Oryzias latipes: one gene and its partners. The protein of the gene in region 1 purifies or fractionates together with the protein of each later gene. This does not show direct contact. Links are inferred from orthologs where the notes say so. Each region holds a gene or a part of one and is shown in the gene's direction. Other genes may lie near its edges. The genes, in order: lin37, e2f4, tfdp1, lin52, lin54, rbl1 and mybl2.

What was found.
Region 2: the proteins of lin37 (region 1) and e2f4 purify together in Homo sapiens (co-immunoprecipitation; 4 studies listed by BioGRID and IntAct, with this or other methods). This does not show direct contact. The link is inferred for Oryzias latipes from reciprocal best matches to the Homo sapiens genes LIN37 and E2F4.
Region 3: the proteins of lin37 (region 1) and tfdp1 purify together in Homo sapiens (co-immunoprecipitation; 3 studies listed by BioGRID and IntAct, with this or other methods). This does not show direct contact. The link is inferred for Oryzias latipes from reciprocal best matches to the Homo sapiens genes LIN37 and TFDP1.
Region 4: the proteins of lin37 (region 1) and lin52 purify together in Homo sapiens (affinity purification with mass spectrometry; 6 studies listed by BioGRID and IntAct, counting the BioPlex papers as one, with this or other methods). This does not show direct contact. The link is inferred for Oryzias latipes from reciprocal best matches to the Homo sapiens genes LIN37 and LIN52.
Region 5: the proteins of lin37 (region 1) and lin54 purify together in Homo sapiens (affinity purification with mass spectrometry; 4 studies listed by BioGRID and IntAct, counting the BioPlex papers as one, with this or other methods). This does not show direct contact. The link is inferred for Oryzias latipes from reciprocal best matches to the Homo sapiens genes LIN37 and LIN54.
Region 6: the proteins of lin37 (region 1) and rbl1 purify together in Homo sapiens (affinity purification with mass spectrometry; 3 studies listed by BioGRID and IntAct, with this or other methods). This does not show direct contact. The link is inferred for Oryzias latipes from reciprocal best matches to the Homo sapiens genes LIN37 and RBL1.
Region 7: the proteins of lin37 (region 1) and mybl2 purify together in Homo sapiens (affinity purification with mass spectrometry; 6 studies listed by BioGRID and IntAct, counting the BioPlex papers as one, with this or other methods). This does not show direct contact. The link is inferred for Oryzias latipes from reciprocal best matches to the Homo sapiens genes LIN37 and MYBL2.

Annotation. Positions count from the first base shown.
Region 1 is NC_019874.2:15,177,520-15,181,593, reverse strand, and holds the start of lin37 (protein lin-37 homolog), read left to right. Parts: upstream 1-1,274; 5' UTR 1,275-1,319; intron 1,320-1,646; 5' UTR 1,647-1,683; coding exon 1,684-1,717; intron 1,718-2,614; coding exon 2,615-2,690; intron 2,691-2,859; coding exon 2,860-2,910; intron 2,911-3,399; coding exon 3,400-3,429; intron 3,430-3,592; coding exon 3,593-3,678; intron 3,679-3,783; coding exon 3,784-3,944; intron 3,945-4,074. Other genes in the region: proser3 (proline and serine-rich protein 3), read right to left, coding at 99-247, 341-603, 688-753.
Region 2 is NC_019864.2:28,153,448-28,157,431, reverse strand, and holds the start of e2f4 (transcription factor E2F4), read left to right. Parts: upstream 1-1,184; 5' UTR 1,185-1,264; coding exon 1,265-1,429; intron 1,430-3,984. UniProt on the Homo sapiens protein: Transcription activator that binds DNA cooperatively with DP proteins through the E2 recognition site, 5'-TTTC[CG]CGC-3' found in the promoter region of a number of genes whose products are involved in cell cycle regulation or in DNA replication.
Region 3 is NC_019879.2:10,677,005-10,679,510, reverse strand, and holds part of tfdp1 (transcription factor Dp-1), read left to right. Parts: intron 1-1,099; coding exon 1,100-1,266; intron 1,267-2,506. UniProt on the Homo sapiens protein: Can stimulate E2F-dependent transcription.
Region 4 is NC_019880.2:13,721,245-13,725,351, forward strand, and holds the start of lin52 (protein lin-52 homolog), read left to right. Parts: upstream 1-1,307; 5' UTR 1,308-1,310; coding exon 1,311-1,344; intron 1,345-1,395; exon of another isoform or gene 1,396-1,455; intron 1,456-2,130; coding exon 2,131-2,184; intron 2,185-2,800; coding exon 2,801-2,875; intron 2,876-2,951; coding exon 2,952-2,989; intron 2,990-3,086; coding exon 3,087-3,153; intron 3,154-3,914; coding exon 3,915-3,998; intron 3,999-4,107. Other genes in the region: pomt2 (protein O-mannosyl-transferase 2), read left to right, coding at 1-40, 226-331.
Region 5 is NC_019870.2:2,879,281-2,882,780, reverse strand, and holds part of lin54 (protein lin-54 homolog), read left to right. Parts: intron 1-470; 5' UTR 471-497; coding exon 498-1,232; intron 1,233-3,002; coding exon 3,003-3,114; intron 3,115-3,195; coding exon 3,196-3,332; intron 3,333-3,500. UniProt on the Homo sapiens protein: Component of the DREAM complex, a multiprotein complex that can both act as a transcription activator or repressor depending on the context. In G0 phase, the complex binds to more than 800 promoters and is required for repression of E2F target genes.
Region 6 is NC_019863.2:32,786,893-32,791,182, reverse strand, and holds the start of rbl1 (retinoblastoma-like protein 1), read left to right. Parts: upstream 1-1,490; 5' UTR 1,491-1,600; coding exon 1,601-1,762; intron 1,763-3,325; coding exon 3,326-3,459; intron 3,460-3,585; coding exon 3,586-3,789; intron 3,790-4,172; coding exon 4,173-4,237; intron 4,238-4,290. UniProt on the Homo sapiens protein: Key regulator of entry into cell division. Directly involved in heterochromatin formation by maintaining overall chromatin structure and, in particular, that of constitutive heterochromatin by stabilizing histone methylation.
Region 7 is NC_019863.2:23,223,541-23,227,768, reverse strand, and holds the start of mybl2 (myb-related protein B), read left to right. Parts: upstream 1-1,428; 5' UTR 1,429-1,666; coding exon 1,667-1,686; intron 1,687-1,961; coding exon 1,962-2,058; intron 2,059-3,044; coding exon 3,045-3,116; intron 3,117-4,113; coding exon 4,114-4,206; intron 4,207-4,228. Other genes in the region: uncharacterized protein LOC101163484, read right to left, coding at 56-80. UniProt on the Homo sapiens protein: Transcription factor involved in the regulation of cell survival, proliferation, and differentiation. Transactivates the expression of the CLU gene.

The DNA of each region.
Region 1 (4,074 bases):
GTCCAGGGATAGTAAGATCATGCAGATGATAATAAACATACACTATTATGAAAATAACTGTTTGATTATCGGGTACAAAGGTAAGAGATAAAATGTACCTTTATGTAATGTTTTAGTTTGTTTTCCACAGGGAGATGATGAGTGGAACATCCACCACAAAGGTTCCTGCTCTTCTCCAGAGACAGGAGTCACTGGCTGGCGCTGTTTCCGACTCTGAGGTAGACCATGTCGAAAACGTTCTATGTATCTTCAAAAAGCAAAGGTTAATGATTTGTCGAGCAACGTTAAAAGACTAAATATGAAATGAGATTGTGATGAAACCAGACAGCACGGCACGCACTTAGCCAGCACAGAATCTTCCTGAACTCCTGAGGAATCTTTGGAAGCCTCAGACCTCAGAGGCTGATCTCTTTCCTCCATATCAGGAGTGATGCTACCAAGACGAGATGCGTGTTCAGGGGACTGCCAAGACTCAGCAGCCACAGATTGTCCACCAGTAGAAGAAACATGGCGATCATGTTTCTTAAACAGTTTCTGATTTTTCTGAGCACATGATTGTAATTTTACACCGGATCTCCTGCTTGTGCAACCAGGACTGCGCGTCTGTAAGAAGTACAAGAAGTATGAAGTAATAGTTAGAATCGACTTGACAACAAAGATGTTAATGAAGTTATCTTTAATACTAACACTTTTGTTCTTTGTCTTTGACAGAAGTTGCTTGCTGGATGATTGCTTGTGTGCCCTTCTTTCCATGGATGGTGGCAGATGAAATTTCTGCCCTGTGAGAACAGCATCAACACAATTTTTTTAATAAAAATGATTAAGCAATAGTAAAACGCATAAAATAAGTTGTATGTTTATTATTTTTACTTCTAATTTTCTGACCCCTCCTCTCTAGTCTAATTTAAACTGTACTTTTCTGCTCATTTGGTGGATGATAAAAAAATCCTGACCTGTGGATTTGCACATCCACACCACAACATCAAGCAACACATTGACCCATAACAAACACGTACAACAACAATGACACAGATTTACAAGACCAAAAGTTAAGATTTTGTGAAGAAAAGAAAAACCTACCTAGTTGGCTTTTTGATTAAAGTACACCTAACAAGATGGATGAAACCAGAAAAGCTGTAGCGTTTGAGTTGTTTACGGCAAAGAACACAGCTTGTGGAAATTGACCAATCAGGGGCTGAGTTTTGAATAATGGACAGAACAGTTGTCCAATAATAGTAAGATTCTGCTCACAAAGCATCCAATCAGATCATAGAGTCTACAGCGCGCGGAAGAGAAAACCTTGACAGGGATACTTCTGGGTAAAAAAAAACGCAGTTAGCAACGGTTGTTTGGCCACTAGCTTACCCACAACACTACTTGACCACATCGAACAGAGCGTGAACAGTGTAATATTGTTGTTACATAGATGTAGTTGGTAGGGTAAAATGTTTCTCTTCGTGTCAATTTAATAATTAAATACATGTAGATAAAAAAATTGTGGCGTAATTTTAAGAGTTTGGGGTGAGGCTAACGCAAAGGTTAGCTAACTTAACTGAAAGCAGGAGCGCAGCTAGTTTCGGTGCATATTTAATTGTTTTAAAACAAATTAAACTGTGACTACCTGTAGTTACTGATCTACTACGCAGATCTGTTTTTACCCCCTGGGAAATATTGTTTGACACCATGCACCACGTCAAGATCAAGTCGGAAAGGCCAGGTAAGAGAGAGCAGGGCTATTTTCACGAACTGTTGTTTTATTTAATTAGACACCTTTAGTTAAAAGAGCTTCACAGAGACACCGAAAGGCTCTGGCAGTAAAAAAAAAAGAAGTCAAATAATTTACATTGTAATGTGTAGGGGTAATAACAAACTAGTTAAGCACATTATTATTATATGTATAAAAATAATATAACATTTGGTTTATAATAAATGAAACGTTTAAAAAAAATTAAGCGCAGTTAATTATTTAATTGTGATTTGTGTAATAATTTCTCCTAACCCCTTAAAAACGTCTATTTAGGAATTGGTTGATCCATTGGTTTAGTTCAAGCATTGATTGTAGACAATACAGAAAAGGAAATCACACAGTTTTATCAAACAGAAATAATGAAATGCACTGATTAAAAAAAATGTAAGAAGAAAGTTATAGTAATTACTCATAATCCAGAATCGATTTTTCTGCAATGATGCAGAGAATACACATTTAGGTCACATCAGATTCATTCCATATGATTACCAACTAAAGTCAAGTTTTAATTTTTAATTGAAAAGGAGTAGGAAGACATTTGTATGATCCCACCCCTAGTGAGTTATTTCATTACAAATTTTTGCATCGTTGTCATAATCCAGTTTTGATCCAATCGTTCCTTGTAAATGTAAAATTATGGTACGGTATAGCTTAATAAATTGTGTGTAAATATTGTTAAGGAACCACTAGATTCCATATAGTACTTTGTATCTTCAAAAAAGTCCGATTTCTTTTTTATTTACCATCCAAAATATTTAAGATTTTGGGAACTTCATAGCTAAATTAATTGCACATATCTTTTAATGGTAATAATTTTATGGTTATCCATGTTTTCTGTTATAATTTTTGTAACTGTTTCTATTACAGAGCTGGAGGAAAGCGGTGCACGCAGCAGACTGGATGCTGTGCTGAAAGGACTTGTAGAGAAGAGTGAACATGAGAAGTTAGTGAGATTGTGATGCTTTTTCATAATTCTTTTTATATTCTGTTTTACTGTGAAGCACTTTGTGATTTTTATCTTGAAAGGGGCTATACAAATAAAGTTTATTATTATTATTATCATCATAATGATCGCTCATCACTGTCTAAAATTGTCGTTATGCTTTAAACAGGGATCCAAACGAAAATGATCCTGGGAAAATATCTGTGGATTCTTTAAACAAGTAAGCTCAGTAAATTTTTCTTTTGTTCTGTTTAATTATAAGTGAGGAGGAATTGATATCAGAATCAGAATCTTTTATTATCATTCTGCAGAGCACAATGAAATTTTTTCCAGCAACTCTCGATATAAAAAGGTAGAATAAAATAAAATAAGAATAAGGAGCTATATAAGGCATAAATACTTAAATACTGTACAGTAGAGTGGGGTGAATATTGCACGAGTGGGTATTCCACATTAGAATGGATATTGCACATACAGCATGAATATTGCACACAGTTTAAAATAGAGATATATATTCTAATATACTGCATAAAGCTGTAGTATACAGTATATTATACAGTATACTGCAGCTTTGTACAGTACAGTACATTACAATATACTGTATAAAGCTGCAGTGAATTCAGCTGTTACTTTGATGCTTTTTGAGTATTTTAAATAATGATCAAATGAATTTCTTGTTTTGAGATAACATCCTTTCTGCCCTTTTTAGGGATTTGTCTCCATCATCTGCTGGAAAAAGGTAAGTCTCTGTATTCAGAACGTGGGTTAATAATGTCTTTTATACTTTTTTATGTCCTGTACTGTTCCTAAACATTTTTTTTACAGAAAAGCGACTATTTGAAACAGTTAACATGAATTGTATTTATTGTTTTGATGTGGTATTTTATTTTTATTTTTTTCAGACAATCAACTCGATTTCCACAACACCGTAGAAAGAAAAGGAAAGAGATGGAAGAGGGAATACCAGAGACTAATCAGCATAAACAAAGTAAATTTGACTCTGACTTTTGCTTTTTATTGTGTGCAAGCTTTTCATTTACAGCAGTTTTTCAATTGTTAAGAAGCGTTTCTATTTGATCTGCTTTGCTCCTAGATGCCTACATCATTAAGCTGTTTGATCGCAGCGTCGATTTGGCTCAGTTTAACACCAGCACCCCGTTGTATCCGATCTGCCGTGCCTGGATGAAAAACAATCCTTCTGTTCGAGAGTCTGTAGCCTCCCCCGGCTCCCCGCCCGGCATGACAGAGGAAGAGGTGGGGCTGTCCAACATGTCCAACAAGGGCAATATGAATCTGTATTTACAGGGAAAATTTACCAATCTCTTTGTAATTCAACATCACAATATCATAAAGAGCATTCTTTATCTTTGTTCGTAAAGCAGCA
Region 2 (3,984 bases), on another chromosome or scaffold:
TTGAACGATCCAGTTCAATCACTGACCTAAAATCCAGCCAGGACATTTTTAGCCAAAACTTTTAAACCAGTGTGACTCTGGTACTCTGATACTTCTGGCAAGTGTAGAGTTGATGTGTACACATAAACAAGTAAACAAAAATTAAAAGAAAATCCATTCAAATTTTGGTTTCATAAAGTTGTAACACATGACCACATGTCTTTACACAATTCAAAGTGTTTCCACACATTGGACTGTAACATTCTTTTTTATTTTTTGGCTGCCACCACATATGTGTTGTCTGCTGTGATGCACTTGGTCGCTTTTATGTTACGGTAAAATAAACCTACCATGTCTCCAAATGCTATTTTCCAATCTTGACATTTTCGATTTATTTAATTTTGAAAAGATTTTATAATAGTTTGAATAGATAATAGATTAACAACTGCCCTAGAAAATATGTAGAAATATAAAATTGTTTCACTGATTAAGTCGATTAATCGTTACACCCCTATAATAACTTTTAAACTTAAATTATGTGGTAACATTTTTGTGGTTAAAAAAAATAAAGTCGTTAGGATGCAATACTGAACTCAAATAGTTAAATTCAAAATATTTAATTTACAAACCAATGTTTACACAGTACACTAATTCGCACTGCTTTGCAACCTTGAAAATGTTTCAGTCAATGACAATGTGGTTTGGAAGAAAAGCTTTAGAGGGGAAAATAATTTTCAAATATTCATTTGAAGAACGGTGCCTGCGTGTGCGCGCGTGGAAGTGCGTTTTCTTCAAGTTTAAGTTGCTAAGAGTTCGAGTTAAACTTTCTCCTCTACCAAAAATTCTTGCAACCAATACTTCCCCTAAAATCGCAATAGAAAAACTACTAACCGTCTTTTTTCATACTTTTTTCAATGTTACATTAAAAATAAATCACTAGAAATACATGTTCGTGCTAGCAAATGTATTTTTTACGTGGTTTTATTTTTTCATGAACATTTGCACACGGTCCCTAAAACGAAAGCACCGTCCCGTCATACCTCGCGTGGCCAACGGCTCTCCACCGACTGCTCCTTCATTGAATTTCCATACTCGCTGCTTCAGCTCGATTTTGCTCAGTTATTTTCAGAAAAGCAGCTAGTATTGACTCGTAAATTTGCACCACACCATCCACGCGTGTGTGTTTCGAACTGCGGCGGTGGAGCTTTCTTTCTTGGGCTCGCTGGCTGGATTTAGTCGGAAAGCAGGCAAGAGAAGAGGGGAAGTACGGAGCTGATCCGGAGCAATGATGGAGCTGGAGACGGCCAGTAACAGAGGCGACCCGGGAACCGTGGGAGACTCGCTGCAACCGCAGACGCCGAGCAGGCACGAGAAGAGCCTGGGCTTGCTCACGACGAAGTTCGTCACTTTATTACAAGAGGCGAAGGACGGAGTCCTGGATCTGAAAGCTGTGAGCTCTTTGTTGTTAGCTAGCACATGTCACTTTGAGCCAGCCCGCAGTCGTTAAGTTACATGGTATCTAGCTAGCATGCTAGCCTAGCTTAGCTGTGTGACAGGCTAATTTGAATGAAAGATAGCTTTGCCTTCTAAGTTTGTTGTTTTAGTTCACCACTTTTACAATTAAAATCACATTTAATATTTTATGGTGCAGATTTTTGCCTTTCTGAGTGAAGAAACGAAGTGAATTTCAAGAACACCGGTCAACTTTTTTCGACTCTCTGCCCCCCTGCAGATTCAAAGTTTAGAAAGTGGGTCAGCTTTTGTCATTCTACTCTCAGTTAAAGCCACTGCACCTTCACACTTGAGCAAGTTTGTTTTATGATTGATTGCGTCTTTGTCCACGAACGACATGCGTTTATAATGTTGCTTTTCAGAAATGACTCAAAGCGTGAAGTAGTACTCGCACAGATGTTGATTAAATTAGGCTAGCTTTGTTTTTCACAGTACAGGGGCCACATTTCCACATTTCCATCACTAGCTTTAATGCAGGAATGTTTACTATTGGGATTCTGCTAAAGTCCCACATTGTTTGATGTAAAAGCTCAAATAGTTTTCTACAAATACAAAAAAATATATAACGTTTGCACTTTTCATATTTTTACATTAGGGGTGTTACGATTTATTTGAACAATTTGATCCACTTTATAATTTGTGCTTCACGACATGATTTATAGTCCGGGACATCTTTAGCCAAAACATCAATCAGTGGGACTCAGAGATAAATAAATGGGTACTGAACAGTGTCACTTGTATTTCTTGTAAATGTAAATAAAATGGCTTAACAAACAAACAAGTAATTCCCATTTTAGTGTCAAAGTTCAGCCCACTTTTGCCATAGATAGGGTTGTTACGAATAATCAGTAAATCGATTTATATTGCTGCGATCCAACCAGATTGACCTGAAGCAAGTTGTTAATTGAGTCAACGTGTTTTATTATTATAAAATCCTTTCAAAATGAAATAAATCAATTATATGGATATAGGAAAACACCATTTGGATTGAGGTTCTGAAGGTTTATTTGACCATAACTGTAAAAATAACCGAGTGCATCACAGTAGACAACACGCATGTGACGGCAGCAAAGCATGACCAACCATCATTACGGCTCGATGTGTGGAAACATAATTTTTGACCATACAGTGTGGTCATATGTCGCAACTTGATGAAACCAAAAATGTGAATGGATTTGACTAGGGCTGCACGATATAATGAGGAAAACTCGCGGTATGCGATATTAGTGATAAACATTGCGATGAGGATATAACTTGCGATACATGAACAAATAGCAAAACGATCAAAACCATAATTTCCATTTCACTGCAACAGTTTTAATTTAAATAAGAGTTGCCCCTCGTCTACATAGGAGGCCAACATAAAAGAGCTCCATCCCATTGGTCAACCACGTGAAAGGCTCCATCTGATTGGTCAAATGTTTAAATGAATTTATTTGATTCATTAAATACTTCAAGCTGCTATGAGATTGTTTTAGCACTCTTAAGGTTACGATTTATTGCAATTTTTGCAGACTTTTGCATGATATATCATATCATGATAACGATAAATTAGTGATTTATTGTGTCTAGATTTGCCATTCATTCTTGTTTGTGTGTTTGTACACTTATTTAATTTACGCTTGGTTATTTTGCAAGGAATCTGGAAAACCTCCGCTGTGCTGTTCAGTACCAGGTATTTCTCTCTGAGTCCCACTGATTGATGTTTTGGCTAAAAATGTCCTGGATCTATTTTAGGTCAGTGAATCGGATCGTTCAAAATGAACAAATATCTACTATAAATCGTATTGTCAACCACAAATTATTATATTAACCGAATTGTTCAAAAGGATCAATACACCCTAAAAAATGTAACATTCTTAGAACATTCTAGCCCACTGGATGGGACCATGTCTTTGCTAAATTCAAAGTTTTTCCACAAACTGGACTGGAATGACGGTTGATCAGTTTTTGCTGATATCACTTGTGTGTTGTCTGCTGTGATGGTCGATTTTACATTATAGTAAATAAACCTAACGTGCCTCAATCCAAATGGTATTTTCCAATATAACTAATTTATTACATTTTGAAAGGATTTTTTTTTAATGGTATAGGTCGCTTGGATCAGCAACTTGCCTCAGACAGATTTATTTGGTTGGATCGTAGTAATATAAATCAATTTATCAAATAAGTGGATTGATTGTTTCCCCCCTAATGTACATATTTTTCTATAACAGTCATAGAAGAGAGACACTTGAGTCTAAAATCATTTAAATTACAACACACTGATTCTGTTTTGTTATTTTCTTAACTGTCATTTTGACCATTCAGGCATTACATTATGTATGAAGAGTTCTGCTTCTTCTCTTTTTGAGTCTGTCTTCCTGATCATTTCCTTCTTGTGTGACTGGGTTGATATAGTGTCTGCTGATACTCTAAGCTGCGCTGCACCTCGCAGATAAAACACTCCACGCACGTGCACACATTTTTTTTCTTTTTCTTTCCAACTGACTT
Region 3 (2,506 bases), on another chromosome or scaffold:
ACATGGCTGCACCATTTTTCATTAACTCAAATAAGTCCCCAAAGAAACATTTATTGTTATTTAAAAAATAACTCTCCTTCACCATGTCGCGTGAGGGGCAGCCATGGTGAAGGGTTAGTCGACCTCTGATCGGAATATTGCGGGTTCGATTCCCACCTTGCCCACCTATATGTCGTCTTGTCCTGGGGCAATACACATTGCCTCTGGAAGGTTGCCGCCAGTGGCAGCAGAACGCTGGTAAACTGACCTGAAGAACTGGTTGGAGCTCAGTTAAGGGTCCTGAACAGTTTCAAAAGTACTGGTTTGTTGTTCAGACAGTACCCATCCCTAGTGCCCTGTGCTGCCGTCTCGCTGTGGTTTCAGTCCAGCAGTTTTAAAGAGGAGGAGAACAAGCTGGGAGGCCCACATGTACACACTTGTGTGTTTGCTACCCTATGACACTGGGGGTCTAAATGAAGAGCGTAAACAGGTTTGCTTTGTAGTGACTCAGCAGTTGCAAGGCCTCCAAGTGTTTGACGACGTGAAGACGGAGTCGGACAAGCACAACATTACACGTGTATTAATGTCTCCGGCTGAAGAACTTTTCTTCGTTGTTGAATTGAGCTCAGAGTTGGAGATCAACTGTTGGTTTTTTTTTAAAGCATTACTGTCTTAATGTAAGCAACCCTCCCTTCTCTGGGACTGAAAATGTTGATTTTTTTTTTTTTAAATTTTATTTTATTCTTTGCTGTAGTTGGCTAAAGGCAGATGAAGATAAAGGCAGATTTAGTAATATAAAGCGTCTTTGCAGCCCTTCATTTTATCTTAGAGATTTTTTTGATGGTATATCAACTCTTTGAAAACGGTGAACTGCATAAAAAAATGCCCCCCCCCCCCCCCCCCCCATTTTAAAGCAAAACAGTTTTTACTTTTCAGCTATTGTGCAACTCCTGCTTTTACTGACTTCATCAGTCACATTACAAATATTTATGGAGGTCAAAGTGTTGATCCCAGACACGCTTCGATGGATCGTTCCAATCCACTAAAGCTTGTGTCACATGTCACCTGAGTTCTGTGGATGTTTCACCCTTCTGATGTTTTTGTTCTCCCTCGTCCGCAGGTTCGAGTATTTGTTCAATTTCGACAGCATGTTTGAGATCCATGATGATATCGAGGTGCTGAAGCGTATGGGCATGGCCTGCGGCTTGGAAGTGGGAAAATGTTCTCCAGAGGACCTGAAGGTTGCTCGTAGCCTGGTGCCCAAAGCGCTTGAGCCTTATGTTATAGGTGAGTGCCAGCATCTGCCACTAGAGGCCGAAAGGGACAGTGTTTGTCCTAGAGCTGTGACTGTGTGGGATTTTTGATCACAAATGACGGCGTGGTGTCGCGGTTAACCAACCAACTACCCAAAAAAAACACATATAATCCCCCGGTGGCAGCATCAAAAATGAATACAATTACAACCCAGTATTCTTTAATAACAAATAACAGTAACTAAGACCTGTCTAACTATAGAACTAACTATAAAGGTGTTGTAGATTGAACGGGTACAAGTGTGTTGGGGGTGAGTGTTGATTCTTCTGCAGTGGACCACTCTGGAGCTGCATGCAAGCCTTCACCTGTGCTCTCTGGTACAGACATCTTCTCAGAATATTATATATTGCCCAGTAATAAACAAGACTGCAGACACTTTGTCACCTTTCCAGTAGCCATGAAGCCTGACACCCATGAAGAACACGGGGCAGGAGGCTCCGGCTTTGTTTATACAGGCACGTAACTTTGCGCTGCACAAAATAGTTCCCAAACAAAACATGTAGTGATATTAATCGCACTCTAACAGTGCGCATTCGTGTTTAGTGTTACAGAGTGAAGGAGAACAGTAATAAAAGTTTCCCCCCAGAATAACAGTGACTGATTCTTTATTAAACCACTCTGGAGTATAGCTGTGATGGGGACTCTTGCGCCCCCCACCCCCCCAACACAAAAGCCGTTGCGCACTCAAGAACGCATGCAGCTTGTAATGAAAATTAATACAATGGAAATGAATAAGTAGAACGCAGTAAATTTGTCGTATGTCCTCGCGAGATGGAAATTTCTGTTGTAGAATGAGGATGTGTATGTGCTGCTGAAACCCGCGTGTGTATATAAGAGGGAGTGCGTGCAGCGCAAGAGGGAGTGAAGGAGAACTGCAATAAAAGGTTTCCCCCAGAAACCATTGAAGTCTGAACACAGGAGTAGCAGAAAAAGTAAATTATCAGCAAAGATGAATGTGTTTAATGTGCTTATGTTCCAATCATGCACCATATGCAGAACTTTAAAAAAAACCATAATGCAGTGATGCGGTTATCGTCACACTCCTAGTTTGTCCAACACATTCCTGAAGCATCAAGCATTATGTCTCCAAAGAAATGTTAATTCTAACACAAGCAGACAGACTTTCAGACAGAAGACGTCACCTTAACTTTAAAGCTTTTTTGAAACTTCAAACATGAAATGCTTTGTTGAAGCAGTTGTAAAAATGGCTCCA
Region 4 (4,107 bases), on another chromosome or scaffold:
TTGGTGGATGGCTGCTACTTCAGCTCAGCATCCTTTACAGGTGAGACTCATAAGAGAGCCCTAACTTTGCAGTTTATATCAGGTGAAAGTAACTCTTCTCGTAACTTTTTGCATTGCAAAGTGCTAAATACTGTAAGGCAGACCTCATATTTACATCTAGTTGGTGGGAATGTAAAGGCAATAAAGAATTTGTTGATTTTGAGTAGATCTTTGTCTTCCTTCCAGTTTCTACCTTTTTCATCCTCTGTCCTATGGCATGATGGGTCCTCTTGCCCATGAGCCGGGCAGTGCCATGGCAGGCCTGAAGTGGATAGACTCCTGGGACTTCTAGTTATCCTTGTTTGATTAAGATGTCACAGACACGGAGCATTTTGAGCCGAGGGAATTTCAAAACATCAGTTTGAGTCTAAACATTTCATTTGTCTTTCTGTAAGAAAAAATGTGAATTCAGTCAGTTTGGAAAGCAGATTGTAGAATCTTTTAAGATGCACTGGAGTTGTCACCAAGTTGCCTTTAGTGACAAACTAAATTCCATTTGAAAGAGACAGTAGTTGTTGTTTTTTTTAAAGCCAGAACATTTTACATGTATTTTTAGTTGAGATTGTCCTGAGCTTTAGTATTATACTTTTGATTTTGTGTTTTTATTATGTTGATCAATAAATTGTTTTATTCTTGTATTTCATGTCCTGTTATATTTGCAAAATTTACAAACACAAAACGAGATGTGCCGCAAAGTCAAAAAATTGGAAAACTCAATATATATATATATATATATATATATATATATATATATATATATATATATATATATATATATAATAAATTGTACCGTTTTTTTATGTATACTTAAGTTCAAACTTGTAAAATCTGTGAAACATGGGCCTAGTAAACTAAATGCAAGAAATTGTTGTTATAAAAATATAAACTAAATGCAAAACATTCCAAATCTGGGATGTGAAAGTCTTGTTTAATAATTGAGTTATGGTTTTTCTTTCCAGAAATAAAAACTAGAGGGAATAAAAGGTGATTTAAATGTCCCCTAAGGTAAAACCATAAAATGTACCAGCATTGTAACATTTCATTGAGACTATGGTGGGCTTAAATAAGGGTCTTTTCATTAAGTTATGACAGTAATGTTCGTACTACAATTTCTAAGACGATATAAATCTTTGAATAAAACGAACAGTAATCTTCTGTGCCTCTTGTAAACAGCGCGAGCACCATTGCCGCCCTCTAGCGGCGTAATTTTGAAAAACATCGCCACACCTCAAAACAGAGCGCGGCCGCTGCGATTGGTTGTTGCATGTCACATGATTATTTTGAAGATGGCGTCTCCAAATGGAGGTAAATTTTAATTCTTCTCTCCGATACGCTTTGAATACATCGCAAATGTGACAGTTTCGAGACATTTAAGTCGTTAACAGTTATAACGCAGTGTAATGTGAACACCCAGAGGTAACGTAAAATTTGTCGTAGGACTAAATTCTTGTTTAATCGGTTTGTTTTTCTTCCTTTGTTTTTCCTGATTCTGGGACTGACATTGTCCGCCGTTGATGATGACAGCAGCAGTCCAGATTGTTCTTCTTGTTGCTTCGTTTGGCCGTTTGGCTCGAATTAGCATCAGTGCTACATTTAGCACTTAGTTATTTTTCTCTACTTTAAATTAGTAGTAGCTGTTTTGGTTGCTTGTTAGATTTTGTGTGACTGTTCGACTCCTTTGATTGAAAATGGAATCAGTCTGCTATTAAGTATTATGTCCGTAATGAGTATCTTTTAATGTGTTAAAAATGTTGAAAGCAAATTCTAAAAAGTTTAACAGTCTGCAGAACCAATAATGTTATTAGTTAGTAATTCACACTCTGTCAAGAGTTATTGAAATTTTGGATACAATTCTCTATATTGGTGAAGGACCAGTGTTCAGATTTGATAGCAAAAGTAATTGTTGATAAGAAAGAAAACCCTTTATACATATACAGACAAATAAGAAAGAAAAGTGTCTCTAACAAGTGTGCCAAGAAAAGATCCCCCATACCATCACACCACCACCACCAGCAGCCTCAACTGTTGATACAAGGCAGGATGGATCTATGGTTTTATGTTGTTGATGCTACCATCTGAATGTCCCAGCAGGAATGGAGACTCTTCAGACCAGATGTTTTTCTAATCTTCTATTGTCCAGTTTTGGTGAGCCTGTGTGAATTAAAGCTTCAGTTTCCTGATCTTAGCTGACAGTAATGGCAGCATTAGGTGTGGTCTTCTGCTGCTGTAGCCTATCTGCCTCAAGGGTTGTTCAGAGATGCTCTTCTGCAGACCTTGGTTGAAACCAGTGGTTCTTTGAGTTCCTGTTTCCTTTCTATTAGCTGGAACCGGTCTGGCCATTCTCCTCTGATCTCTCACATCAACGAGGCATTTCTGTTTAAATGGCCAAACATATTTTTACAGCAGTGTAAGAGTTATTAGTAGATGATCAGATCACCACATGACTATGACCTCTTTGAACATTTTAATTGATCAGTGTTTGTACGAATCTTAAATGAATAAAACCATTTATTCTCATTCGAAACTGCCTAATTTTAAGACCAGATAAATATTAGATTTTTTCCTCTCTTTCTGTCTAGATAAAACATGAAACAAAAGTTGTTTTTAGGTTTCAATTTTTGACCTGTTTATAAAAAGTTACTTTTTAATTTTTTTTAAATTAACATTTGGCTGAATTTTATAGTTGACCACTGATTTCCAAAAGCATAGAACTTAAAAAACTAAAGAACATGTCAAAGTGAACCACTGTGTGCTTCTGCAGGGGAGGATTTTGAGATTTCGTTGCTGAGTTTTGAGAAGCTGGACAGAGCATCACCTGACCTGTGGCCAGAGCAGTGTAAGTTTCTATCCTCCCACGCCCAGCTGATAAAAAATTACTTTGTAATTGATTCTTTATGTGAATTCTCACACAGTGCCTGGAGTTGCAGAGTTTGCGGCAACTTGCAAAAATGTGAGTTTAGCTCTGATCTAAAGATGCAGGATTGACTCTGCATAGACTGATTGGAGTTGAGACTTTGTATGTTGTTGTTTTTCTCTTTTTATTGCAGCCTATCACCACCTCTCCTCCAAAGTGGATGGCTGAGTTGGAGAGTGAGGACATTGAAATGTTGAAAGGTTGGTTCAGACAGCTGACATTTATCCTGTATAAACCTTAGGGAAAACATTAAAAACCCACTCTGATAAGAAAAACCGTGTTTTGAACATGTTCTTGTGGCATTTGATATCTTGACATCTGATAATGGAGGACACGTATAAAGAAAATTAAGCTTGAAATTGCATTTCTGAGTTCTTATTTATTCAAATCGTTGTGAATCAGGAGCAGATGAAAAAATGCTGTTTGAAATTTCTTATTTCTTAATCAATATTGCTCGCCATTTTCGTTTCTAAGGTTAGGTTGGGGGTGTGAGTGGCTGTAAGCTAGCAGTAGAGTGTATAAACTGATGATCTACTGCAGCTCTGCTCTAACTGTCCTTAAAAATCACACAGTGTTTTTTTTCTATCTCGGCAAAAAACGGCATAATCATTCATTAAAAGACCTCTGGGAACGCCTTTTAACCCTTGTGCTATCTTAGATGACCCCACCCTTACATTGACGTGTTCTTCCGACCATGACAAAGGTGGATAAAGGTGGAAAGATTTCATGTAATCCATGGACACCAGTGAAGATCATAAATCATTGAAGAAAAAAAGTTCAGCGCACTGTCTAGTGGGTCTACATGACCCAACTCCCAACGTTAAAGTGCCTAGGATAGCACAAGGGTTACAACAGATCAAAAGATCAAATCCGAGTGGGACTTTAAATAATAATTCATGTTTCTTTAGCTAATTAAGTATCTCTAAATGCTTTTATTTAGTGTGATGTTATACCTCTGCAGAGCTGGGAAGTCTGACTACAGCCAATCTGATGGAAAAAGTCAAAGGACTTCAGAATCTGGCTTACCAGCTGGGTTTAGAGGAGTGTAAGTATAACAAAGACACTTCACCACTAGGGGGGGCTAAAAGCATTTCCACGCAATTCTCTGCCGCTGAAGTCTTTGGCTGCTTCCACATTCAAATTCCAAACAGGTT
Region 5 (3,500 bases), on another chromosome or scaffold:
GACTAAATCTGTCAGCATCCATCCATCTATCCACCTTTACTCTCACCCTGTGCAGACATTGGGGTTGCAGTCCATCACAGCACCACACACAAACGTTCACACACAGTAAAAAAAAAAGTAAAAGGATATTCCCAGGTGGTGCGGTGGTTGACCCTCTCAACTCAGTCAGGAGACTTTAGTTTGGATCCTTTTTGTGGGGAGTTTGCATGTTCTCCCTGTGCATTGTGGGTTTTCTCTGGGCACTCTGGCTTCCTCCCACACTCCAAAAACATGCTACAGAGGTTCATTTGTATCTCTAAATTGCCTCTAGTTGGGAATGCATGTGTGTGGTGTTCACCCAACAGTAGCTGGGGTGGCTTATGTATGTAACCCCCGTGACCTTAAAGGATTAAGCAGGTTCTGAAATGGATGTGTATATATATTTTTTCTTCTATTTTTCAGCATTGTCATTTTTTTTTTTGTTTCTCCAGGATTGACAGAGCGGAGACGCTGCAAACATGGACGTGGTGTCACCCGAGTTGAACAGCCTCCTTCCTGATGAGATCATGGACACGGAGGCCATGGAGGAGGCGCCTCACTCTCAGCCCGACAGCGCCGCGGTCCAGGCGGAGCCCTGCTACGACTCCACAGTTCCCATGGAAACGGACGTCCCGCAAACTCCCAGCGTCTCCGAAGACGCGGCGCCGACGGGTAACTCCCAAACCCAGCTAACGCCTACGGACTCCACGCTCAGCCCCAGCAGACATTCCTCCATCCTCATTTCCAGCGGCCCGTCGCGCCTGGTCACCCTCAAACCGGGCCTGGCCACCTCCACGGCCCCCACCAAAACCACGGACAGCGTGACCGGGACGAGCATGTCCACGGGCGGCTTACAGAAGCTCACCGCTCCCTTCACCATTTCCTCCGTCAACCATCAGATCATCCTCAACAAGGTGGCCTCGTCTCAAGCTGCGGAGGCTGCAAAGTCTGCGGGGCCGCCGCCGCAGGTCATCAAGCAAGAAGGACAGAAGCTGCTGGTCACGACCATAGGGAAGTCAGGACAGCCGATAGTGCTGCAGCTGCCGCATGCGGCCAGCAAACCCGGCGTGGTCCAGGCCTCAGGAGACGGCAAGGCCCCGGCTCCGCAGTTTAAAGTGGTCACGATTGCTGGGGGGTCAGAACTGAAGCCAGTGGTGGGGAGTGGAGGCAACCAAGTAACCGCAGTGCAAACCCAGCAGCTCAAGACTATACAGGTAACCCTGAGCGCAGAGGCTGCTACTGTGACCTTTGAACTCCCATTAGCAGGACTGTGAGAACCTCAAGACCCACTCTTGTCCTTGTGGCATTTTAGTCATGATGAAGAATGTATATAAAAAAATTAGAGGTATAACAATGCATTTTTAAAAGCAAATTGATACACATCATAATTAGTGGTTGCGATGCGATTCCCAGTCAATATTGGTTCATTTTGAACTGACTGAACAAACGTCGATCCAGGACCTCTTTAGCCAAAAGCTTAACCAGTGTGACTCAGAGAGAAACATCAGGTACTGAACAGTCCAGGTGACGGTTTTTCTTGTATTTATTGAAAGCAGTATTTCTTTGCCAGTTTTAAGTAAATGGTTTATTTTCAGTTTTAATGAACCGAATTGTATTTTCATTACAGTGACAAAATAAAACTGTAATAAGTAGAAATTACTCATTTTAGAACAAAAGGAGAATCTTAAAACAAGTTGTCTTAATAAATTTTGATACATTTTATTTAATTTTTTTGAAGTTGAGTTTAAATAAAAATTATTTGGACTCATTTAAATAATAATTTCCTTATTTCTAGATCCATACGAGGCAAAAAATTCTCACCTGTGTAGATTTTTTTTTTTCCGCAGAGCTCGGGAAGTTTTAGTTAAAACAACTTTAAACCTGGCTAAAATATCTTGAATCTTTGCAGCAATCAAATAGTTTGCACTGTTGTAATTGCAGTATTTTTTGTTGAAACTCTTTAGTCTAAAACGATCCAGATCACATCCTCCAGTTTGGAGACGATCCAGATTCCCGTTTTTTTAAGGCCTGGTTGGTTTTCTGCTCTGCGTCAGATCAGTCTTCAGGTCATCGCCGATGGCCTTGAATCTTCCGTCAAACATCAGAGACGTGCGGTGAAGCTCAGGAGTGAAGCATCGCTTTTTAAATGTGTGTAAAAATGAGGAAAAATTCAAACTAAGTCAAACTTTATTTAAAATATGGGATCAGATGAGAATCAACTTAAAGTGAATAAATAAGCAGACTGTAAATTTGAAGAACATTTATTTTTGACTTGAAAGAAGCTTTAGATTTGAAACTTTAATAAAAGCTTATAAATCTAAAAAAAAAGGCTTATTAAAAACAGCTGCTGTGTTTTTAGTTTCACATTTGGATTTTTCGTTTCTTTGCTTTCAGTCCTCTGTTTCAATTCAGAACTTTTCCTGGCGTTCACCCGAGTTTTCCATGGGGGCGGGGCTTTGAGCCCATTGGCTACCAGGACAAGATTGACATTGGGTGACAGCGGTCATGTGACATCATTGCCGGTCTTGAACAGTGTCTGTTGTGGGCGCAGCAGGGATGATGCTCCACCAAAAGTTAGAACGACGGTCAATATTTAATACTTTTCCAGGGTTTTGCTCTGTAATGTACAGACTCGCAAAATCGTGACGATCGGACACTTTTGAGTTTATTTTATAGTTTCCATCAGCAGATAAGGGTTGGAGCCCATCCGGTTTGGAGTTCTTTAAAAAAAATCACAAGAGCCCAAAACACCAGTTTATTTAAATATCAATATATTTTTCTTTTCAATCGAATATAATCGTCCTTCATGGAGACTGAAAACAAAATTATTTTTCCAGATGCAAATGCAACAAATCTCTATAAAATGAAATCAACTCAACGGTTTGTTTAATTTCTCCTGCATGAAGATCGATTGCATCAATCCATTTTTTAAAGCTAATTCATGGGTGTTTGTGTTCAGATCTGACATTCATATCCATCCTCAGATTCCTAAGAAAACCCCGGTCTCCTCTGCGGCTCCCATCAAGTTCATCATCACCAAAACGGTCAACAGCAAAAGTCTGAGTCCTCAGACGTCCGTCACCCCTGTGATCGCAGGTGAGCTCTCTGCAGATCTGCAGACCCGACCCGCGTCTTTGTCCACCAAACGCTCATTTAGTCACCCCCCCCATCTGCCAGCAGGCCGGGTGGTGACGCAGACGCAGTCCCCCGTGATGCCACCCAGAACCATCGCTCTGTCCGAGCCTCACAACACTAACCTGCAGAACATCGCCAGCAAGAAGATCGCCATTTCTCCACTCAAGACTCCCAGCAAGGCAAGACCGCACACTTTTCTGAGTCATTCACGAAACCGGCGGGGGCTACAAACCCCCCCCCCCCCCCCCCACGATGATTGATCTGCTGAGTGTTTGACGAGCAGTTTTTTATTCTCTTTTTGTGTGCGTTTTTTGTGTTTTAGAACTTAAAAAAGAAAACGTCTTCTA
Region 6 (4,290 bases), on another chromosome or scaffold:
ATGTAAAAAATAACTTTTTATCAAATTACATGTTTCTGGTTCTTAATAATGTGATAATAATAATAATGAGAAGTCTTAATTGTTGCAGTTGAGTCAGGATGAAAATTGTGGCTTCTCTTATAGATAAAGCAAGTCAAAGAAACAAATCAATTACTTCTTGTTACTCTGTTTTTGTAACATTTTGCTAATTAAATGTTCAATAACTTGTTTGTTATGATGAATTATATTTAACTGTCTAAAGCAGCCAGACCATGTAGGAAAAATCCCAGAAACTAAATGTCCCCATTCGTTTTTAGTCCATCGTTTTATGCTGTTTAAATTTGTATTTCCACTTGAACAAAATATCTAGGTTTGAGCTATAAATGCTTAAATTGTGATTTTTGAATGTTTCTTTTTATTATTACTTTTCCAGAGGTTTTTACTTTACCTTTATTCTACCAGGTAGTCCTATTGAGACAAGATCTTTTTTTCAAGGGAGTCTTGGTCCAGAGGCACATTTCAATACAAAAAAATACATAAAAACAAACATCATTAAAACCACATACATCATGAGAAGCAGTTGCACATTATTGTTTCAGTCTCTGATGCTTTGAGCTTGTTCTTAAAAACATTTAAAGATACCAGTTCAGTTAGTTTCCAGTCTTTCTGCAGCATTTTCCAAGCAGGAGGAGCAGAGTGGACTAAGGCTTTTTCCCAGCTCTGTGCAGCAAATGGAACAGAAACAACCGTCTAAGGATCAGAGGAGTGAGATTCCACACTTCTCCTTGTGATTAAGGAACAAATGTAGGGAGGGAGTAATAACCAATAGTAACTACCAATAATAATAACCAATAATAATTACCAATAATAATTACTAATAATAATAACCAATAATAATTACCAATAATAATTACTAATAATAATAACCAATAATAATAACCGATAATAATAACCAATAATAATTAACAATAATAATAACCAATAATAATTACTAATAATAATAACCAATAATAATTACCAATAATAATTACTAATAATAATAACCAATAATAATAACCGATAATAATAACCAATAATAATTAACAATAATAATAACCAATAATAATAACCGATAAAAATAACAAATAATAATGACCAATTGTAGTAACCAATAATAACAACCAGTAGTAAGAACCAATAATAATAACCAATAATAATAACCGATAATAATAACCAATAATAATTAACAATAATAATAACCAATAATAATAACCGATAATAATAACCAATAATAATTAACAATAATAATAACCAGTAATAATAACCGATAATGATAACTAATGTCCCTGCCTCCTAGTGGCCAGAGAAGTTTTTGCCTTCAATGTGTTCGTGCTTTTGTTTTTTATAAAGTTTTAGAAAAAAAAGTTGACATCCGGTACATAAGAAAGGGGGAGAGGGGGGCGTAGGTTTCTCGCCTCTGATTGGTCAGAAGGGTAAAGTTTTCGCGCCACCGCACTGCATGCTGGGAGCTGTTAGCGGAAGCGACGGGAACCGTGTTGTTGTGGTGAGAGCTCGGCTCCGCCGTTGTTTGGTTCTGTGGGTCGGATTCGAGCTGCGCGGACGGGCAGCGCTGGTTCTGTGGATGAGAGGGGAGGAGTCTTCGGATTCTGAGTCGGGGAGGATGGAGGAGAGTTCGGTCCGGAGGAGTTTGGAGGTGCTGTGTCAGGAGCTCAACATGGACGAGCAGACAGCCAGTGAGGCCATGGACAACTTCACCTCCATATGGAACACATACACTCTGGAGGTAAACGACTGGCTTCGGTTCGGTTCGGTTCGGGGGGGGGTTAGAGTCTCCCGGGGGCGCTGTAGACTGACCCGCTATGAGCCAACGAGCGCTTCTGCTCTGCGACCTCCGGTCATGATATACATTAATACATGATGCTGTGACGTGAGTTTTCCTGAAGCTTACCGGAGATTTTTGTGTTTACACACAGAAACACTGAAATGAGGCTTATTTGTGAGACTGAGTTAAAACATCCAGGTGTTGATTTGAGTCATAGGATTGTTGTTTACGTCCGTTGTTGAATCAACGTCACAGCGAGATGCTGCAGGTGACGGGAAGAGGAGCCTCGTCTTTAGGTTTACCTGGTAACTAATGGCAATAAATAGATGGCAATAAACGGAAGGTGTATTTATTATCTACAACATGGAGGTGGATGCACTGAATTTTTAAATATGAAGTCCTTATTTTTTTAGCAAAAACTAAGAAAATATTAGCAAGAAAACAGTATTTGAGGGGCGTAAAGAGAATTATAAATTCCTACTGATTGAACAGGGCAGTGAACACAGCACGACTCACCTGCATAAAGGAGGATTTGTAATCAAAGGCGTCTAATATCTGGATTTTTGATTTGATGTGGCTTTAAAAGGGACTCTGTTCATTTATCTGTTGCTGTCTAGAAAAGTGACCCAAAGAACAGAAACGTCCAAAACTTTACTAGATTTGTTTTAGCTCTTTGATTAATATACAGTAATAATAATCACACATTTTATTTAGATGGCGCCTTTCTGAGCACTCAAGGTTGCTGTACATCATATGTACTTATATAAAATATAATAAACAGTTAAAACAGCAATTTAAATAAATACAAATAATAAAAATATTTAAAAACAGGAAAAGGTTACAGTGAATGGGCCATTTGGAGGAAATGAGTTTAGTTGTTTTTATTTGATGATTTTTTATGGATTTGTTTGATCTCAGGGTTGAGATGGTGGATTTGTTCTGTGCGCTCCTGCTGCTGTTTAACACGATGGCGTTGAAGATGGAGATGCCTGAAATTCTTCACATGATTCAATGTTTCTTTAAATGTAGAAAAATGACGTCACTCTGGTGAATAAATTCAGCATTTTTGTAGCATATTTGGTTCCAAACGGATCCAAATGTTGTACATTTAGTTGTAATAACTGGATTTTATGTTGATGCGTTATTTTAACTAGACGAGTGAACGTTAGGAAATCGTTTATCTCTGTTGTTGTCTCCATAAAACAGCTGTTACACCTCATTATGAATTCATATGGTTAAAGATGTAAAGTCTATTTTGAGCAAAATGAAAAGAATGAAATAAAACGCAGTATTTTACTGAAATGTGACTGAATGCTGAACGTGTTCATGTTTCATCTACTAGCTGTTCCTGAGGGTTTAGCACAGGGTTTTGTTCAGAAGAACCTGAACCTTTACCAATCATTTCATTCACGCACCAATGGAGGCACAGCTGCCATGCCAGACGCTAACAGGCCCAAGGGCACTCGGGCACCGGTGGGTGGGCAGAGCTGGACGATGCAGAAATGTGCCGTTGTGTTCCTGCAGGGGGAGGTGGTCCACTGGCTGGCCTGTTCTCTGTACGCCGCCTGCAGGAAGGGGTCCACCCCCACTGTGGGGAAGGGGCTGATGGAGGGCAACTGTGTGTCCCTGACCCGGATCCTGCGCTGCTCCAAGCTCAGGTCAGGTTCTGCTCTGCAGCTTCTGCTGGATTTTACAGCCAGTCCCGGTCAAACGGGATCCGCCTGTGCAACTTTGGGATTTGCGTCTTCATGTTTGGTCCCGTTTGTTGTCGGCCCCCCTCCCAGCCTGATCCAGTTCTTCTCTAAGATGAGGAAGTGGGCCGACATGTCAAACCTGTCACAAGACTTCCGGCTGAGGATGGACCGGCTGGAGCGAAACTTTGAGGTGTCCACCGTGATCTTCCGCAAGTTCGAGCCCATCTTCATGGACATGTTCCAGAACCCACAGGGCAGCGAGCCCCCCCGGCAGCCCCGCAGCAGGAAGCACAGGTGGGACGCCGGCGCGCCTCAGGCATGACGGTGTATACTATATACATGTCCACAGTATACTATATATACACACATACACACATGGTGCATTGCGTCTTGTTGGAATATCTTGAGTTCAAATAAAACCCGAGCAAAGGTTTTGACAAAAACAAATACATTTTAGGCTTTTGTCTTGATGTTTCATCCTTTTTACTGATCTGAGACATGATCCAAACCGTGAGTGTTGGGATCCGTTGCAGCTCCATCTCTACTGCAGACACAGCTTGAACTCTGACCTCCACGTCAGAGACGCTGCTGCATGTTTGCACCGACAGCAGCTTTCAGCAGATGTGGAGTTTTCCGGAATGTTCTGGGCTTTAGGATCTGCTCCTGTGTGTCTGCAGACGGCTGCCCTGTCACATCAGTGATGTCTTCAAGTTCTGCTGGACCCTCTTTGTCTACACCAAAGGTACCGAGAAACAAGCCGGACGACCTTCCTGAACCCTCTGGGTTTGCTTGAGC
Region 7 (4,228 bases), on another chromosome or scaffold:
AAATGGAGGACTCTGCTCTCAAACTGTTCATCAGGGAGGAGGGGGAAAACCTTACCTTGTAAGACACAAGTGCTCTCCATCTTGTCTGGAGATGTGAAGGGCTCAGTCTGCTGGGTTTTAACCTGCCTCTTAATTGTCCCAGCTGGAGGCTGATTAGCTGAATGGAGACTTCCTGCTGCATAGGAAGTTTTGCATTTGTGTAATTTCTACCAAATATAATATACCCAACAAAAAGTACTTGTCATAAGAAAAAGATCAAAACATGACAACACCATAAATTAGACATAAATTAGAGTGGTTTTCTTTTATTTTCAACTGTGGGATGTATGACAAAATGAAAAAGAAAAACATAGGGAGTTCCTAAAAATATGCTCAAAAATTCCTGAAAAATTAGGAATTTGAGAACAGAAAAATTCCTAAAAAGAATTTAAACACAACATATTGAATTTCATGTAAGTAGTTTTTCTCTGGGGAAATTCACCCGGCGATAGTGCCCTAGAGTTAACCATAAGTACATGTATTCCCCTAAACTAATACACTATTTTTTAATCATAATATTTTGATATTTATATCAGTTTGATAGGTCATTGTATGAATGTCTAACTGATGATTGTATTGTTTTTGTGTACTATTCTTATTTGATTGCTTTAAATAAACCATTTTCTAATCCAAATATTTGAATTTTGTTTAATTTTCTTATGTGAAATCAAAATTACAAGTAAACTTTAAAAGTCAAATTAAATTACAGGCCTAAATGAAGCTGTTCGCTGATCTTAATTAATGAGAACTGTTCTATCCAAATTTTTACTGAGATTGAGAAGATTGAGCTTAAAAGAAAAGTTATAAGATGAACAATGTTTACCTTCAACTCGCAACAATCATAAAAGACCTAACTATTGACTAATCATTTTATCTTAGCTTATAAGAAGAGTTCACAAATATTTTATATATTCATATACTGATTCATTTAAAACTAACCTTTTCATTATTTTTTTTAACTGTTTTCCGGTTTTAGATTAAATTTAACTTTTTGGGTTATTATTTTTCTAGCTTTATTTATTTATTTGTTAGTTAGTTAGTTAGTTAAGTTAGTTTGGCTCTTTTATTTTTAAGTTGGTTTTGTAGTGTAATTATTTCTTTTAGGACAATGTATCTTTGCTTCAATATTTTCATTCATTTATTTGTCTATATCATTTTTTTTCAATTCTATGTTGTATTTTTTTGTCTATATAATTATTATTATTATTATATTTTAAATTATTTATTTATTATTTATTTATTTTATAAATCTTAATTACAGCACCTAATTAAAAACCATTTTGAATCAACCAAACATTACATTTATTTTATTATAAAGCGTCTTAACATTTTATTTTGAAGGTCATCCATAGAGGTTTGAAGCCTTCTGCGCAGATCTACGGAGCACCTACGTCACTTGAGAGTCAGCAGTACGGAGAAGGGCGCGAGATAGAAATTGCGGCGCGCGGACGAAGCTCGCGCCTACCTCTAGCTGTGGCTTCCCGGCTCTATTATAACTGCAGTCGAGGTTCTTTCGTCAGAACTGGACATCCTGCAACGACCCAGCCGTGTCACCTGCAGGTTTTTCCCGCAAACACCTGCAGCCCAGCCCGGTGAAGTCCACGTTTGACCCAAATAACAGTGGGAAATGTCATCGTGGCCGCGCGGGTAAGATCCGTGTTTTTGTTTGCTTTTAAGTTTGCTTGTTTGTTTATGTTGCATCTGATGAGCTGACTTCTGCTCCGATCGGGTTGTGGGGAGTTTGCGCGGACTTTGACTGCCGCCTTTTTTCCGGACTTGGCTCAAACTCCGACCAGAATCACCGCCGGTACTTTTCCAGATCACTGCTTCCTGTCAGTAAAGCTGAGCCGCAATCCCGCGGATCCGGTCTTTCTTCGGCGCCTTTAGGGTCAAATCTCAACCTCTTTAATGTGTCCCGGCAGGGAGGACGGGGAGGAGGCCGCGCATCCGGACACGGACACCGATCTGACGGAGTTCAGGGATGGAGGGAAAGTAAAGGTCAGATGGACGCAGGAGGAGGTAAAAGTTCACCCTGAGTGGGGCCTGTGATTCTAGTGCAGTGTTTTTCAACCTTTTTTGAGCCACGACACACTTTAACCTTGACAAAAATCCTGCGGCACACCAGCATCCAAAAATGTGAGAGAAAAAAGGAAAAACTTATAGTCAGTCTGTATTGATCTACTACAGCCCCTCCGCAATCTCACATGCATTTTTGTGACAATTGTGGCAGAAAAAGCTGGAAGTTGCAGCTGTTTTTTTTCTAAAAGATGTAATAAAAGTTAAGTTAAAAGATTTAAAAACTGTTTGATCTGTTTTCGTTGTGGTTTCAAGACGTTTAACAAGGACGACTCATTCTGCGCTAAGACGCTGTCACTTTAACCCAATGCATCATGGGAGATGTAGTGCAAACAGCCGCAGAACGCAGAAAGACTAGCGTCTCTGAGCTTCATTCTTTTGTCCACTTTTTCCACGGTCTGATACCAGATTCTGTGGAAAGCTGCACCGCTAAAGACGAGCTTTAGCTGATATTTTTGTTGGAACTGAGAGACTTTATGAGCAGAATCGGAACAAGGAAGTGAAGACTTTAACCACTTCTGATTGGTCAGACTGTTGACGTGTGATTGAGCCTCCAAGAATGATTGGTGGAGACAGTTAAAGGGGCGGGACTATTCCTTATACAACTGTAGCTGCGGCTAAATCACGGTACCGTCATTCTTATCAACATGTCTTTAATAGAATCAAATAAACACAAAGAAAAATGTATTTTATGGTCTTTCATATTCCTAACTACTCAGTGTTTTATCAGGGCCTGTTTGGATGAACAAAGAGCTGTTATCCTGGAGTTGGGAAATCTTTTTAGATCAGTTAATGAGGGCAATTTCCCACGGCACACCAGACCATCTCCCCCGGCACCACGGCACACTGGTTGAAAAACACTGATATAGTAGCCCTCGTGGTTTTGCAGCGTAAAACAAAAATGATTTGTGTTTGTTTGTTTTTTGCAGGACGACAAGCTCAAAGGTCTGGTTCAAAAACTGGGGACAAATGACTGGAAACGAATCTGCAGCCACCTCCCTGTAGGTCTAATAGGGGCGTATCTGTCTGATCATCACTTTGTGTTGCACTGCAGGAACTTTGATTTATACAAATTTACGAAATCTTACTTTTATACAGGGGCGGAGCTACAGGCGGGCAAGAGGGGGCACCCCCCCCCCCCCCCTGCATAAATCTTAGCCTCCTAATATTTGAGTTGATATGATAATCATTATTTTCATAGGTTTAGAAATCATAAATACTAGCTTCTTTAAGTATTGCAAAAATAATTTTAAAAAAAATTATTTTAAAAAAAAGTTCTTGTTGCCACCCTTTCAAAGTCTTCCACCCCCCCTTTAAAATCTTCTAGCTCCGCCTCTGCTTTTATGATTTCTTTCACTGAAATGTTTTCTTGCAATTATCCAACACTTTTATTGCTCAGACTTAAAAATATAAAACCAAGTTTCAGCGATTACCGTAGGCAGTTTTAATATTCAGTTTTCCCTTTTATAAAGCATTTAGAGTTTAATCCTAGTTCAAATTTTCCCAAAGAAGAGAATCCCCTTTTGTAGGATTTTGGTAAACCGAATGTTGGATTTGTCAAAGTTGGGTGACTTGATGTTTTTTTTGTTTGTTTAAACTTTTTTTGCACTAAAAATCTGGGATTAAAAGACTTAAAATTATAAAAATTCCTTCAAATTGCAGAAAAAAATTTAAGGTGAGAGGATTTAATCTGCACATTATTTCTGATGACAAAAGAACAAGGACAAACCTGCAGCAAAAAATAAAGTTACATATATTTCAGAAAAAAACATTTTTTTTGGTTTTTCAAATCCTGTAGAGAGAGAAAGAAAACTGCTTTTTAAAGTACTTTAAACAATTGTTTGTCTTTTTTGAAGAAAAGGTTAACAATTATTTCAATATCGTTTTTTGCAAGTACTGTTTTGGTGACAAACATGTTGGGATTGATCTGGAGATGATCGGGATCAGAGGTTTAGTTAGGACGTTTTTCCAAACCTGACGCTTGTTCTGTTGGTCCAGAACCACTCGGAGAACCAGTGTCAGCACCGCTGGTTTAAGGTTTTGGATCCCGAGCTGGTTAAAGGTCCGTGGACTAAAGAGGAAGACGAGAAGGTAAGCTGCCATTCAATTAGCA